2 linked regions of the Neodiprion lecontei genome follow. Each later gene encodes a partner of the first gene's protein in a complex. Links are inferred from orthologs where the notes say so. Each region holds a gene or a part of one and is shown on either strand. Other genes may lie near its edges. The genes, in order: phenylalanine--tRNA ligase beta subunit and phenylalanine--tRNA ligase alpha subunit.

Evidence for each region.
Region 2: the proteins of phenylalanine--tRNA ligase beta subunit (region 1) and phenylalanine--tRNA ligase alpha subunit are in contact, whole or in part, in a crystal structure (PDB 3L4G), measured with the Homo sapiens proteins. The link is inferred for Neodiprion lecontei from reciprocal best matches to the Homo sapiens genes FARSB and FARSA. Residues at the interface, in NP_005678.3 of Homo sapiens: Glu26, Phe29, Gly32, Leu33, Pro68, Ala69, Asn70, Ile150, Arg152, Asp259, Thr261, Lys262, Arg305, Lys316, Lys317, Val318, Gly319, Ile359, His360, Cys362, Asp363, Glu366, Ala369, Ile370, Tyr374, Asn375, Ile377, Gln378, Met379, Thr380; in NP_004452.1 of Homo sapiens: Ser221, Gly222, His223, Leu224, His225, Leu227, Leu228, Arg231, Ser232, Arg235, Leu239, Gly242, Phe243, Thr244, Glu245, Pro247, Asp249, Asn250, Phe251, Ile252, Glu253, Ser254, Phe263, Gln266, Gln267, Phe277, Phe278, Leu279, Arg280, Asp281.

Annotation. Positions count from the first base shown.
Region 1 is NC_060263.1:10,026,103-10,034,615, forward strand, and holds the start of phenylalanine--tRNA ligase beta subunit, read right to left. Parts: upstream 6,241-8,513; 5' UTR 6,069-6,240; coding exon 6,011-6,068; intron 5,652-6,010; coding exon 5,596-5,651; intron 5,104-5,595; coding exon 4,949-5,103; intron 4,036-4,948; coding exon 3,966-4,035; intron 3,846-3,965; coding exon 3,579-3,845; intron 3,261-3,578; coding exon 3,081-3,260; intron 2,985-3,080; coding exon 2,809-2,984; intron 1,410-2,808; coding exon 1,208-1,409; intron 1,125-1,207; coding exon 1,044-1,124; intron 943-1,043; coding exon 850-942; intron 665-849; coding exon 385-664; intron 1-384.
Region 2 is NC_060264.1:28,395,981-28,402,696, forward strand, and holds phenylalanine--tRNA ligase alpha subunit, read right to left. Parts: upstream 4,408-6,716; 5' UTR 4,239-4,407; coding exon 4,095-4,238; intron 3,860-4,094; coding exon 3,519-3,859; intron 3,444-3,518; coding exon 3,222-3,443; intron 3,106-3,221; coding exon 2,990-3,105; intron 2,877-2,989; coding exon 2,692-2,876; intron 2,508-2,691; coding exon 2,146-2,507; intron 1,861-2,145; coding exon 1,759-1,860; intron 1,424-1,758; coding exon 763-1,423; 3' UTR 618-762; downstream 1-617. Other genes in the region: girdin, read right to left, coding at 5,463-5,738, 5,832-5,944, 6,080-6,200, 6,300-6,363, 6,451-6,543, 6,702-6,716.

The sequences.
Region 1 (8,513 bases):
GATTACCATATCACTATTCTAAGCAAACCTTAATACTTAATATAATCAGCACGACTGGATCATCTGACACTTGACAGAAATAAAGTTTTAGCTGTACTTTACAGAGAATCTATCAAACTTTGGACTCTTATGTGTGAAAATACTCAGTTTCAGCTTATTTTTTTGTCTAACAAATACAAACATTTTCAGATCTATTTGATGAAATTTAAACATTCATTGGTCCAGCCATTTTTTTTTCCCCCCTTAGAACACAGTTACGGGTAGTAATGACAAACTTAATTTAAAAGAAAAAGCAAATATGCTAAACTTGATCTGAGATGATGGCATTGAAACGGATACTAGAAATACATCATTGCAGAACTAAAAAGTATCGAAATAGCTCACCGTCGGCAGCACGCAAGTAGTAACCATTGGAATCTTTAGCTGTACTCCATGGAACTTCAAGTAACTGCATAATTCTGTCTAAAAGACCATGAATTATCTCGAAGCCTGCAAACTTATTACAATTGATTGCACAAATTCGTCTTTCATTACGGGCTCCAACTTCCGCTGTACAATCACGCAGTACTACATCGGATATTTCAAATAACTTTTGGGGTAACGGCATCTTTTTGTTAGCAGCCAAAGTCTTCAGAAGTCCCGGTAGTAATGTGGTCCTAGCTACCTAAACGCAGTTAGTTGAATATTTTATGGCTGGATGTACTCAATGTTTGTAAAGAAAACATAATGTATAATGCAAGCATTAAAAAACTAATCGTATTATCAATTTAATTGGGTCGCGAACATGTATTGCTTAAAATTGTGTTAAATTATTAAACCGAAAGGTTTGTGATTTTAAATGATACCTACTTGAAATTCTAGTGTCTTTGGATTAGAGATATGGACCGCTGGTACATCCTTGATGCCAAGTCTCAATTTCTCAGATATATCCTCTCGAGAACACTTGAATTGGAGTACATAATAAAGAAACAATAATGAAGAAAGAGGTTTCAGATGACGAGAGGCCAAGTGAAAGGATTTTCAAAAGTAGCGACGATACATACCAAGGAAAATGTCAAAGCTTCTGTAAATCCAGCATGAGCAACTTCTTCTCTCAGTTGATCAGATAACTTGTTTAGTGGAAACTAATATAACAGTATAATTAGTTTCCGGAATGAAAGGTAATATTAGGTCTTCTTTCGTATGGATAATATAATACTTGCTTCACCTGTTCTGCGATTGTCAACCCTTTGGGTAATGTTTTTACTATGTTGTTGTAGCCGTAGGCAATAGCTATATCCTCGTAGATATCGCAAGGATGTATGACATCATGCCTTGTGGGAGGTATTTCAACTATTAACCTGTCGTCTTCAACTTTGGTTTTCAAACACATTTTAGAAAGAAGCTGTGCAACGTTGTTTGGCGTTTCTCTGAAAGTACAAAATTTGTTAACGGTTTACGTTTTCCTAAGTGAAATAATTTCGTGAATATTATTTATTGTTAACATTTTAGTGAGAAAAAAACGAAAAAGATTATAAAATCTATATCCTTAAAATCATATGATAAATCTCATCCACGGCACAATACATTTTCAACAGGGTTTAACCGATGATATACTGAAATTACTAAGTGTGAATTAAAATTAAAAATGATAAACTGTTGTAACTCATTTAAATATTTATAAAAGTATTCCAATTGCTGTTCGAAATATTCATTCTCTCCATGACTCAATGGGAAGAAAATTTAAGTATGTTGACGGCAAAAAGAATGCGATACTTTTGATGCTTTTCAGAAATGAATAACACATTACACAATCTGGGTCCAAGCAAAATAATAGAGATGAGATTTTCGTTTGTTGCAACAGATCTGTGATGATTTTATACTGTCTAGTTTGGTAAGTTTGATTTTATTGTGCTTAAAGTGTACCGTCATAACTGTTCAGTGAAGTAATCAGCATTATTGAAATGTATCAATTTTAATTTCTCACCCTCAATGCGCACAGTAGGAATAGAAAGATCCTAGACAAATTCACCTTCAAGTTGCTCTCAGCCATGACATGAAAATTGAACTTATCTCATTATCCTGCTCAAGGTACTCCTTCTCTCCCCTAGCACAGTGCGTCATTCGTCAAGCGTCAGTATAGTTTTGGCATTTGGGTGAAAGTATATGCCTCGAGATTTAGAGGTGCAATATTTTCCAGTGTGTACACAATGATTGTTTGATGTTATTGGTGTACTGATTTTTCTGTGATCTTTATCATTGATCATCTTCGATAGAATGTAAGTATTTCATGAAGTGCAATGTGAATAATTTTGCAGTGTCGTTAATATTTTATAAGATTTTTTGATATTTTTATAACATTTTACTTGTACCTGATTGTGAGTACGAAGGAAATGCAAGAGAAACTTAGTGCATTATGCAAATAAATCAATATATTTTGTAAAAATCTTTTTTTTTTTTAATTTCCCTCATTTCGATTAGCAGAGTGAACAGAATAATTTTTATCAAATGCGCACTGTAGCACTAATTCATTTCTTAAATTGACTATAACCATTATGTAATTCTCCTGAAGAGTACACGTTAAGAGTTGATAAGCAAGGCTTTCTATGCGGAGAAACTAGTTCCTAAGTGGAACTGCGCCAGACTACTCAATTGGTCCTCCTGTGATCTTGATCTTAGACAACAGTGGCGCTGCCTCTACCCTTGCAACAGGGTCAGACTGTATTGAGTTGAAAAGACAATACTGTTTGCATACATCAATGTTAATATGGATGAGACGTTTATTTTTTGATCTTAATAAGTAGAAAAATAATGACTGTAATAACTTACCTAATACCGATATAGCCAGTGGCTTTTTCTGGACTGATTTCTTCATTTCGATAACTGAGATTAGGGTATTGGAATCTCGTCCTATCGGGATATATCACCTCCACCTTTTCAGCTGTATATTTTTCTTTGCAGTACTGACTAAACATACATATCAGTGTATCCAGGACTATATTTGCCTAAACGAAAATAAAGGTGCAAAAACTGACATGTTGGTAAAAGATTTCAAATTCATTTTTAAATTAAGCATGTGATACAAAGCTGAACGTAATTACCTTAGTAAGATCCGTAGCTGTACATTCAATGAGAACATTTTTAGTGTTTAGAGTAATCTTAGAATGATCTCCATTGATTATCGGCGGCAATGATAATACCACACCATTGCTATCATAAATAATCGGATACACAGGACTGTCCTTTATGATTGGTAAATATTGCTTGAGCTGTGCGTGGTTCTGCAAGTGAAAATGTAGGGTTTGGCAAATACAATTAAAAAAAAATTATCTTGCTACCTTAGGGATGGACGAAAAAGAAAACTGACGTAATGCGGCATGACTCAAACAAAATTTGTGATCACACAAGCATTATCATAAGCCTTATAAGTTTCCAAAGTTCGAAACGGTTCCATTGTTAATTACCTAATCATCAAGTCTATCGAATAAGACATGTTTTTTCCATAAAATTTTCGAAGAGAATAATGAAGTCTGAATAAGAGACATATAAATACATGAATTTATGATACGATGTAACTCAAACATGTCGCATTTACATACAGCATACAAATCCATGATCTGCTCTCCTGTGTATACTTTTTGTTGATTCAGCGGTTTGAAAGAAATATTTTTCGGAGGTTTAGCATCATAAGTGAAAGGACCCTGAATTGTGTCCAAGTCGTGAGTTCCTATTGCCACAAGGCTGCGTTTGCGACAAATGTTTTGATGGAGCTTATCTTGTAAATCGATAAGGCTTTTGTAGGAATCTTGGTTTATCGTTATATCTCTTAATATGGCTCCTACAACGTAACATCGTATTCTTTGAGTCTGTCCAAACAGAAAAGCCAACAGATAACATTTCCAGTGTGAAAGAGTTCAAAAAGAAGCACGATGATAAATTGGCGCGCCATTTTTGCAGCAGTAAATATTTTCATAAACAGAACTCACACTTCGAGTAACGATAATTTGATGTAAATTGCTTTTAGGTAGAAGTGCTGTATATCGAGGGGGTGGATTTCTGAAATAACAATTAACATTGAATTAACTATAATTGATAATGTCAAGCATTAATTAAGCCAAGGAAAAAGCTTTTGCACCAAAGAGTGATTCTTATTCGAATAATCCTAGTCTAGAACGTATTTTTTTCTAATTTTCATATTGTATATCGGTTCTTTCAGCTGCACAATTGCAATTTTAAAACTCACATACTTTGTGGTAATTTTAAACCTTGGGAATGCTTTTTTATAATCTAGCTAAGAAACTTTGGTCACAAATAGCCAGAAATTTATCAGATAGGACTTCAAAGTTTGCAACTTGTACCTTGATTTAGACTTCAATTTTTACACATTTCAAAGTTTTTAAGGAAATTAGTTATTTTGCTGAGTGAGTACTTCCTTTAGAAGCTGAATTCAAAAATACTTTACTTAGTACACCACGCGTTTTCTTTTTTTTACTGTTTTTAATAATAATAATTATTATTGTTGTAACAAATCATGTTTAATAAATACCAAGTCTTAAAACGTAACTGGTAATTTACATACCTCAGAATGAAACTACTTTGCAAAATGCTATTACGATTGAAATCATATAGTGAATTAAATTTAAGAGCATCGATGAATTATTACGACTCAAAAATAATGTGTATACTATGAAGTATACATTCTGCTTGTAAATATTATGGAGGCTGAAGTTAGTAATGTTAACGTAATGAACGATTCGAGGAGAAGTTCAGTACTTAGAAATTATGTAGTGACTTTGAAGTAGTCAAGTTTCACAAAATATGAATGTTTTGGTTTATTACAGTTTACTGCATTAAAGACATTCCTAAAATTCAGGCATAAGGATTTTCACGAGACGTCGATCATCGCAGTAATGTTATTAACTTCAGCCTATTAAAACTAAACAAATAGTATGTACTATGTGATTAATACTTCTCTAAAAATACAAGAATTCCGCTGACTAGACCCTCAAGGCATAGGAGGTCATATCGGTTTGCTGGAATATCAATTCTGTAGATAATTTCATCCGAAGCATCTGCACCATGATCGGAGCCTTGTTCTTTCGCTATCATTTGCTTTTCCGTAGTCTAGATGTGAGAAAAAACATTTTTTATGTACATATAATCTTCTGTATAATTATCAGCTAACATTAAGCTAGTTTGATAATCGGGTAATTTTAATATCTACATCGTTATGAAATTTATGTACACACCTATGAGGGTCTTCAAGAAATATTTAAATATGTCAAGACATTAATATGCAAATGTGTTCTAAACGACGATAATCTTATTTCGCAAGAAATAATGATTTCAGATATCATTTAAAACATGTGCATATGTTATATCATACATGTTTTACTACGTTAAACTACGGTTCACTGTGTTATATAAATTTTGTTTCTATACCAAAATTTGAATCCTCTCTGTAAGTACTCTACAGTGTTTATGTGTTCAATTTTTAAATACCTGATCGTTCAAAACAGAACAGCCATTGTATTTCAAAACTATAATATGACACATATTGAACATTCTGACACAATAATATTGAATAATTTTTGTGATCATTAAAAAAGATCTTACCACTTCGTCCAGTTCAAGACCAAATTTGAAACATAACGATTGAAATTCATCGTCAGCTGAAAGTATAAAAGGCCACAATTTATAGCTATCAAAAAATTATAATGATCAAAGCATTGTGTTTCAGTTGTTGGGAACTAAACAACCTGCAATGGAATGGAATAAACGACTCGATAGCAAAAACTGCAACAAAGAGACTATGTGGACAAATAGGAACGACATGTAAAATTGTAGTTTACATGTAATAATATCATACAAAAAGATGAAAGTATGTGAGTGCAGCGTAAAGAACACAGTTCAATTTTCAATTAATCTTTGCTTTCAGCAATATCAATGAACAATTTTGAAAATACCAGTTTGATGATTAATATTTAGATACTAAAACGTCAAGGTCCGCCCTTTCCATCTAAAAACTTACTGTAAGTACTTCCTAATGCTTTGAAAAGCAAGTCACGTTTCACACTAATAGTAGGCATATTTGTGGAAAAAGTAAAATTTAAACAACAATATCATGCAACATAAGAGTAATATTCGGTACGGAATATACAACTAAATATTGCAGCACGATATCGTATTTGAGGTTCTTCTGCTTGTTGAATCTATCGCATTAGGGTAAGTGCCAATCTATGTGAGGTTACGTGAAGCTACCGTATAAGCTGAAATGAGGACGTACACGAATGCACATCAGTCATTAGCTCTGTTCACGGTCTTACATACAGGTCTTGCGACTCTGAGTTTCGACGTGGGCCTCTTAACGTGTCAAGCCGCTAGCGTCGCTGCGATCGAGGGATGCCCGGTGCGACAAGGACACGGTCTTGACCGTGTTGTGAACGAAACACGATACGGAACACGCACGTCAGTCGTCAAAGGCTTATTCAAACATTGTAGGTTATGTTGATGCACCCCTCGATCGCAGCTCCATCTGGATTTTTCTTCAACAGAGGAGCCACTCTCTACCATTGGAATTCTATTGAGTCGCAAGACCTGTATGTAAGACCGTGGCTCTGTTCGTTTTAGTTACTCTTTTCTACACTTTTTACACTTTTTCTGAATCTAGCCAATGGAAGGTGCCCTTTCCTAGGGAAAGTGTAAAAAGTGTAGAAGGTGTAACTAAAACTAACAGAGCTACTGATCTGACTTAGGTGGTACGCGCACTAGTGGCTGGATTTTTATGGTCAGCAAAGGGAGCTTTCCAGCAAGGAGACAGTGTGTCTCAGAACTGTGTGGCACTTGGAGATTAGAAGGCTTTGTAGCCATCAAATGGAGTAATAAGAAGACCTTCAGAACTGTCAGTTAGTGTTTATAACCTCAGTAATACAATATATGAAGCAATATAATGCAATGTTCTCCGTAATTTTATTCATCAATTAATAATCACCTATCTATATTTTATTTTCCATTTTTTGAATAGCTTATAATCAACATATCTCTCATCTGTAATTCGAAAGGCATTTTGTTTGATGCAAACCCTGGTGATACTTCAACGTGGATTATATTTTCACATTAATAATTGTTCAAGTAATAAATATGTACCAAACTTGGTTACGGCAAAATGCCGACCGAAGAAAAGAACAAAGCACAAAGAACAAAGAACGAGTTCAAACCACGCGAGATTTCAATATATCTGTCATGTCGGTACGGTTGGCACTACTTTTCGCTGAAATTTGAGTTTAAAGTGTGATTCAGAAAATATTTAAGTGGGAGGCGCTTAAAGTTCATATAAACTCGACTACACATCAGCTTTGATGGAGGCGTACTTCAAGACCACCACTTAAAGCTTAAGCGTAGACCAGGCATATAGGACTCTGTGTATGTATTACGCATAGATCTTAAATAATAGGGACTACAGTTGTCAAGCTGATTGCAGCTGGCACATAACCGTTGGAATACTTTGTCGCGAAATTGCGATGTTCTAAAATGAAAAAGTATTTTGTTTGAACGATTGAAGAATTTAAACAGGTTAATTTGCCATGGTGCTTTTCTCCAAGTGAAGACAAAAGATCTTCTATAAAGGAAAATGAATTTTAACATAATATTGTATGCTTGTATTTGAATCTTGAACCAACGATGGTGCTGCCACCAAGCTTCAAGAGTTGGCAGTGTAGTTCCCCATCACGTCGGCTGCATTGCCAGTCATTGTCATATAATTCGTATAGAATCGAACTCGTATTTTTTTCGGACCGAAAACAAGTTGCCCCGAAACTTTAAGTGCGCTACTTTCAATCTCGTGGCATAATCCTTTTGTTTTTTTTCCATTCCAAATTCCTATGTTACCAGGTATAAAACGTGCATTTTGTGCAACGCTCTCTTGGCTCGTGCCTCAGGTCCCACCTGTAGACTTTTAGATCACTTAAGTTTTCGGTACTTTGTCATTTGCATATGCTCTACGGGTTCAAAAACTTCTGTAGAAATTACAAACGAGTATTCTTTGCCGCGCAACTCAATACTCCATTTTATTTAGAACATAGTTCTGCCTGAACAACCAGCAATCTTTCCATTTAAACTTATAATTAATTATCCGGCATCCTCCATTTGTAAGCGAACTATTGTGCAAATAAATACTTTAAAATTAAATTTCTTAGTTTTCTCAAATAAAATAGTACGTGAATTCCTGTTCCCTCATCTAGCATCATTATCTCGTCGGAGGGACATCTCATCCGGTGTTTGACACTTTAAAAGGTGAGCAATTATAATTAATAATCGTCTATTAGGAATAAATCTCGGTTTCTCTAAAACAAGCAATTGAACCGAGTTGTCCAATGCATTCTTACGCTTAATTGGTATTTGGCGACCTAAACTACTGACCGTGCGTCTAGCTGCGTTTTCATCCACGGATCCCAGTCGCTAACTACTGGAATTTCCGGGAACTGTCGCGCCGACGTCTAATTACACTCCCTTCACGTCCAGAACGTAACAATGAC
Region 2 (6,716 bases), on another chromosome or scaffold:
CGCGATTTTAGATTTTTGTCATCGAAATTCTGCGAATCAATTGGAGTTGTTGTTAAATTTAGATGCTATCAGACCAGCAGATCCCGAATTATTGCTATTTTTGCGCTATCTATCACCGTTCTCGAGATATTCGCGATTTAAGGTTTGAAAATTAAAATTAAAATCGAAATAAAATTAAGGGATCCAGGGGAGTTCTTACGATGGGCTAATTACCTGCCCGATTCTATTTCCCCTTTAGGAAACCGAGATATTCGCGATTTTAAATCGGAATTCAGTAAATTTATGGGAGTTTTGAATTAAATTAGAAAATGGAATTCTGTAAATTAATAGGAGTTTTGAATTAAATTAGAAAATACAAGTACACAAAAATTTACCTACGGGTAACTATCTTTATAAGTCTTCGGTCAACGGTTGCAGGGATGCACAAGATCGACTGACTAATTGATGATCTAGCAATGTGATTCATTGAAAGTACGGGCTTAGTAGAAATTGTACATACACTACCACCTTAATACTCGCACGAGTCGCGGTCTTTGCTCCAGGCTTCTTATATTCGAAATTCGAACATGGAGTATCAGTTAGGGTTTGTTTAGAAGGGAAAAGAAAAAATAGGAATATTAAAATGGTGAAATAATTTATATGTTCAATTTGATAAATCACAATAAAATGCTGTAGAAAAGAAATAATCATTTATAATTATCAATAGTAATAAAATATTTTTTTGTTTCGTTTTATAGAATCCAGAAATATTTACATATAAAACTATTTAGTGTGATGTTTTTTTACAGAGTTCCAAACGATGTCAACAATTGAAAGTTTGCTACCAATTATATATCCGGTTTTTGATTTAATTTGCATAGTGTCTAGTTTGTGCCTTGTAGCACCGTGTATGATGCCATGTATTTTGTCTAATGCCGAGTCTATTTTATCAGCGTAAGCAGCCGAGGTACTTTCGTATTCCAAGATGTTTCTGCATTCAGCTTCAATGAACCGATTCAAATACCGAGCTATGTTGACTTCGCCAACAATTTCATGATTCTGATTAAGTTTTAAAATTGGGTCGACACCAACGATCTTCCAAACGATCGTTACAGTGATGTCAGCGGTATCAGCATTTGTAGATTTCTTAAACTTTGAACAGAAATCTCTCAACTCTTGAGGAAATACCGCAACGTTAGAATGGGTATACGTAGAAACGAATACGCTATGAAATTCATTGATCAAACTCAGTAGAGTTTCTAAAGAATACATTGGTCGACTAGGATCGCAGAATATGACTAAATTTTTTTTTTCAAACGTTGTTGTTGAGCGCCCAACTCTTGGCAATTCCTTCTGTAACTGTTCTAGTTCCAAGAGAATTTTATCCAAACGTTCCTCCAACTGTTCTGCCGTATATTTTGACTTCAATATCCGCGGTCCATTCCTAGGAAAACAAGCCACACCCTATTTTATCTGCATTTGTGACCATTTCTTATCAAGCTTATAACTTATGCATGTAGAAACATCCATGTGATGCACAAATGATTCTGAATGAAGCTAAGGATAGACACTTTTCTCTGAACATAATTCCTGTAATACAAAAACTACAAAGGCGAGGAAACACGTTGTAGGAGATATACGTTATTTGCGGGACTGAAAAAACACAACGGATATTATAAAATGGACAGGATAATAAATGAAACAATCTACGCTCAATAGACGATTTATTTTAAACATGCATTAAATAATGTAGAATGAATAAATGAAATTGATAATTACTTCTCAAGACGACATATGGGATTGTTATGTACCATTTGCAGGTCCACTTTTGGTCCAACTAGATCACGGATATTATTCAATCCATACTTGATCATCGTAGGCCTGTAGGGAAAACAAAATATCATACAGATCAATACCTACTTTCTATCCTCTTTTATGAATGATCTACCAACTACTGGATTAAATAATTGTAATATTTGATGTGAATGATGCGTAAGAATTGCTTAATAAGTTAATTGAAATCCTGAGTCTGAACCAATCTGAATTCTGATCAATATGACTAATGACTGACATTACTAGGAAACCAGTAGTTCTGATGGCGCAACTTCCTTCTTCCCTTGCCTTAGTCGCGAGAAAATTGCTCCAACACTTGAAAAATGGTTTTACCTTTCCAAAGACAGACCCCATGCAATAACATTAACATTTTCGGGCAACCCCATCGGCAGCAGCATCTCAGGTCTGAAAATTCCACTGTTTCCGATCTCTATCCACTTTCCCAAGCCATTATGGAAGCAAAATATCTCCATGCTCGGTTCGGTGTATGGATTGTATGCTGGCTTGAATTCCAGCTGAATGATGCCGAGTTTTTTGAAGAATTCATAGAGTGTTCCTATCAGATCGCCCAGTGTGAGATTGTAGTCTGCAACTACGCCTTCGACCTGATGAAACTCAGCCAAGTGTGTGGCATCGAGTGTCTCGTTCCTGAATACTCTGTCGATACTAAAGTATCGCACAGGCTTAAATTCACCCTAAAATTCACAAAGCTGCAGATTAAGATGCTTCTCAGCTAGATTTCAACAGGATTTACTAGAAAAAATCCTTGGTTTCGTATTTTATCACAACATCAATGCAAAATTTGTTAAATGCATATAGCGTGGCAGCTCATGAACCATTTATTTTCTTTGTAGTCAATACTGAACACATGCAGCTTACCTGCTGCATAAGATTGTAGAGCATTCTGGCGCTAACAGCTGTTGTGTGAGTCCTGAGTAAATTTTTCTGAGCTTCCTCAATTTTCCACTCGTAACGATATCCTTGCGATCCATAGCCGCCTTCGCTGTGCACTTTCTTTACCTTCTCCAAGTAATCCTTAGGAAAATTTGAGCTAGTTCTTGGTTCTGAAGAATTTACAAAAATTAAGTGAGGATCGCTGAGTTTGGACGATTAATGTCGAATGTAAAAAGCATACAAAAGGGGATCCGATGATTTGAAAATAGTAATAATTCCTTACCAGATATGAAAAAAGTATCATGCGCATCTCGCGCAGGGTGTTGTTGTGGCTGAAACAACGCATCGAAATTCCAGAATGAACTCTCAACAAAATTGTTTGTAGGCATTTCGGAGAATCTATAAGAATGAGTGAAGAGGACAAAAGAAAGATGAGTTTCTTTTCAAAGTCAAAGAATTGCATCGCCTGTTGTCAATGGTTAAAAATTGGCATATGCTCAAAAAATGTATCTTACCCCATTTCAAGGAAAATCTTTCTGAATTCAGCTCTGACTTTAAGAAGAGGGTGCAGATGACCGATGTCAAGCGCCACACCGAGAGCATCGAAATTATAAGGCTTGAACTTCTTTTGCTTCCAAGAGTCGTTTGTCAATAAATCTGCCGTAAGATCTGTTTCTAGTTTCTCAATTTTAGTCACAAATTGTAGTCCTTTTGACAACACCATTATCTTTGTTACCCTGCGAAGACAAGTAATTAACTAATGAAAAACTATCAAAATAACAAGTACCGAAAATTCTATCATTGCAGCTTACACTTCCTGCAGGAGTTTTCTCTTCTTGTAATCATTTTTAACATTGTCCGGGATGTTGGCAACATTTTTCAAATGTAACTGAATTGTGTCCGTTATAGAGGGTACTTTTCTCCTAACGATCGGAGTCCCGCTGCTCTTGTCCAGCTCGATCCAGCCAGCTACCAATGCCTTGGAAAATCCCACCTTAGCGTTTGGTACAGTCTTCATAATCTCTGTTTGCGCCACACCACCGTCTGGCACAGCTTTAAAGACCGCAGCCTCGTGGCTCCCATTTTCAGCGACTTGCTGACCCTCTTGCGTCAGTGCCCAACTCTTCTTATTCAATTGTTCAACTGAAATAACCTGTGGTGAATCAGACTCTGGTTTAGAGTAAATAATCAATTTTAATCGTAGCAGTACATTCATAATAATTCGATCACGATCTGACAGTGTAGAACATTGAATAATATTCGAAAATAGTTACAGCTGTTGCGTCATTCTTACTTTGTTTATGTCAAGTTTACATGCAAAAAAGTGATGAACAATTGAATACGGCTCTGAGTATTATTGGAAGGAAACGATAGAGTGCAAAAGTTACATTTTCGAGGGTTTGAAGACTTTTGACAGCGCCGATCACTTTCTGATGATCTTCAACGAATAGCTCAGCCAGATCCAGAGTGCTCACTCCATCGCCACGCTTTGATAAATGTTCAAGTATTTTCTCCGCTAACTCGCTAGCCATGTTGACAAGATTTTATTAACTGTCTCACATCCGATGATAAATCTTTTTTCAATAGTAATTCTTTTCAACCTTTGCTAACCGCCGTTAATTGTGATGAACCGCACTGCGTGTCATGCCACGGCTCAATCCTAACCTAGAATTTTAGAAAATTACGCTGAATCGATCCCTTCATTATCGACAATCAATGTCGAAATTTACATTCAAAGGATAGCTGCTGATTGGCTTTTGTTTATCGAATGCCAGTGATTCAAACCAAACTCATCAAACAGAAAAACGGGATCACATTCCTCAATTCTTCTCTTCTCATAGTTTTTTGTTTGTTAAATATAAGGAACAATGGAAAACATAAAAAATTGGTGGCAGTTGTTTAAATAAAAATTTCGCCGATTTTTATTGTTAAATAACAATATTGTGTAGGAAAGTTTTAATTACACCATTCATATTGCGACTATGCCCGAATTCTAGAACGTAACAAATTCTATTTCTACCAAAGCTGCCGATGGAATTTAACAATGTGTGACCTCTTGAGAGTGTCTGATGACTTCAAGGTGAGAAGATTGATGGAATAGATTCTGTTACGATCTCGATAAATCGGTCTTAGGCTCTAATGATAACATAATTGGTGTTTTTTAGCCTTATCCTAGTTGCATAAAACAGCATTCAATTGATACAGCTGTACAGCTGATCAAGTCTTTGACTCTCACACTTAAAAAAAAAAGAACATTCATCAAAAATAAGCTGAGTAATACTATGAAAGGTGCACTGTTATTATTGCCCCAATTATTTGCGAGGCAAGTAAATTCGTTAAAACACCAGTCTTTTGGAAAATACTACATTGGTAAAACTACGCATGGAAGAGAATTTTTTAAAAAGCAGCAATAGAAATAAATAATAATTTCTACACTCATTCATTAAACAGTCATTTTGTCGCATTATGTAAAAACCGCATACCTTTTACCCCTGTTTACTAACTATCCACATATCAATAGTATTTCAGTTAATTCTATATTCGGTAACTAAAATCAATAAGGTAGGAATCCTCTATTTTTTTTTCTCAACTGAAAGAAAAACAAACAACCAGAACGGTTACCTCTAATCTTGACCAAGTCTAAATTACAAATATCTTGTAAAGAGAACAAAATTAGGTAAGCGCTAATATTTACAATTTGTACTTGTAACGCGATCGGTATAACTTGATTAATTAGTAACTATTCGTTGATTAAATTATACACATCCGTATTCGTACCAAACGGAAGCCGCTTTGGCATCTTTTTCGGATGATCTTTCACCGACGGTTTCAGGAATATTGGCTGGAATATCTTTCTCCGTTGTAGAGATATTTTTCGATTCGTTTATCACCGCTGATACTTTGTTGTAAATCAATACTGGATGTTTACTGTTCTGCGCGTCTAAATCTGGATTTGTGTTCGAATCGATTTGGCCGTTTCTGTTTCTCTCATCTCCTTCTAACATCTTCGCTGGATCAGCTACTCGTTGATCCTGTTTAATGGAAAATCACTATCCTTAAGAATAATGTAATTTTTCATTGGAGTAAAAGAAGTTTCCTATTTCAGATTCATGACACAGACTTACATCCAGAGTCGTTTTGCTCGATGGAATTTCGTCTGTATAGTAAACTGTTCTCCGAGTGCCTGGGTAGCCTAGCGATAAGGGATCGCTTCTCAGCTCCGTGATATCTGGCTGTTCTGAATTGATGAGAAAAAAGAGAAAAAACACTAAATGTTAATATATGGAACAGTTTCGCACCAAACTTGCACCACTCGTTCACTCATTTCTTCAGCTCTTTACTAAGGATCCAAACAGTAACTAAAGCTATGTACCTTTTTTACCTCTTATCGGTCTAATATCTTCTGCACTGGCGTCGGAATCGTTTCCACCAGATTCGGACTCGTATGTTTTGCCATCCAACTGTTTGGTGTCCTCGGCCCAGGATCTACGATTCTGTTAATCGGAAATTAAAGTTTTAGAAACCTGAATTGTAGGATTCACTGGAGGTAGTAACTTCGGCATCTTACATTTGCATATTTTGATTTTTCTTACCTTGTTCAAGAGCTCAGAGCCGGCCTTTCTCACTCTCCTGACAAAACTAGCACCGAATCCTTTTCTAAAGCAGAAATGAATGAATAAATGAATACATGCATAAGCAGAATAGGGTACAATATCAATTTTGGGAATCACAGTCTGTTCATACTTTTTCATCGAACAACTTTCAAGTTTGCGGTAATGCTCCATTATTTTTTCTTCTAGTTTCTCTTTCTGTCGGCAAAGATTGTTTACTTTGTCCCTGTGAATAACAAAATTGTACTTTTTCAATTAAATCAAATAACTACAGCAACAACAACAGATATAACACGGTTAAAACCTTAATTGTAGAGATCAAATAATTAAGTCAAGACAATTTTGATTGATTGTGAGTAAGAGTGATCATGGGTATATACTAACGTGAACAATTTTTCT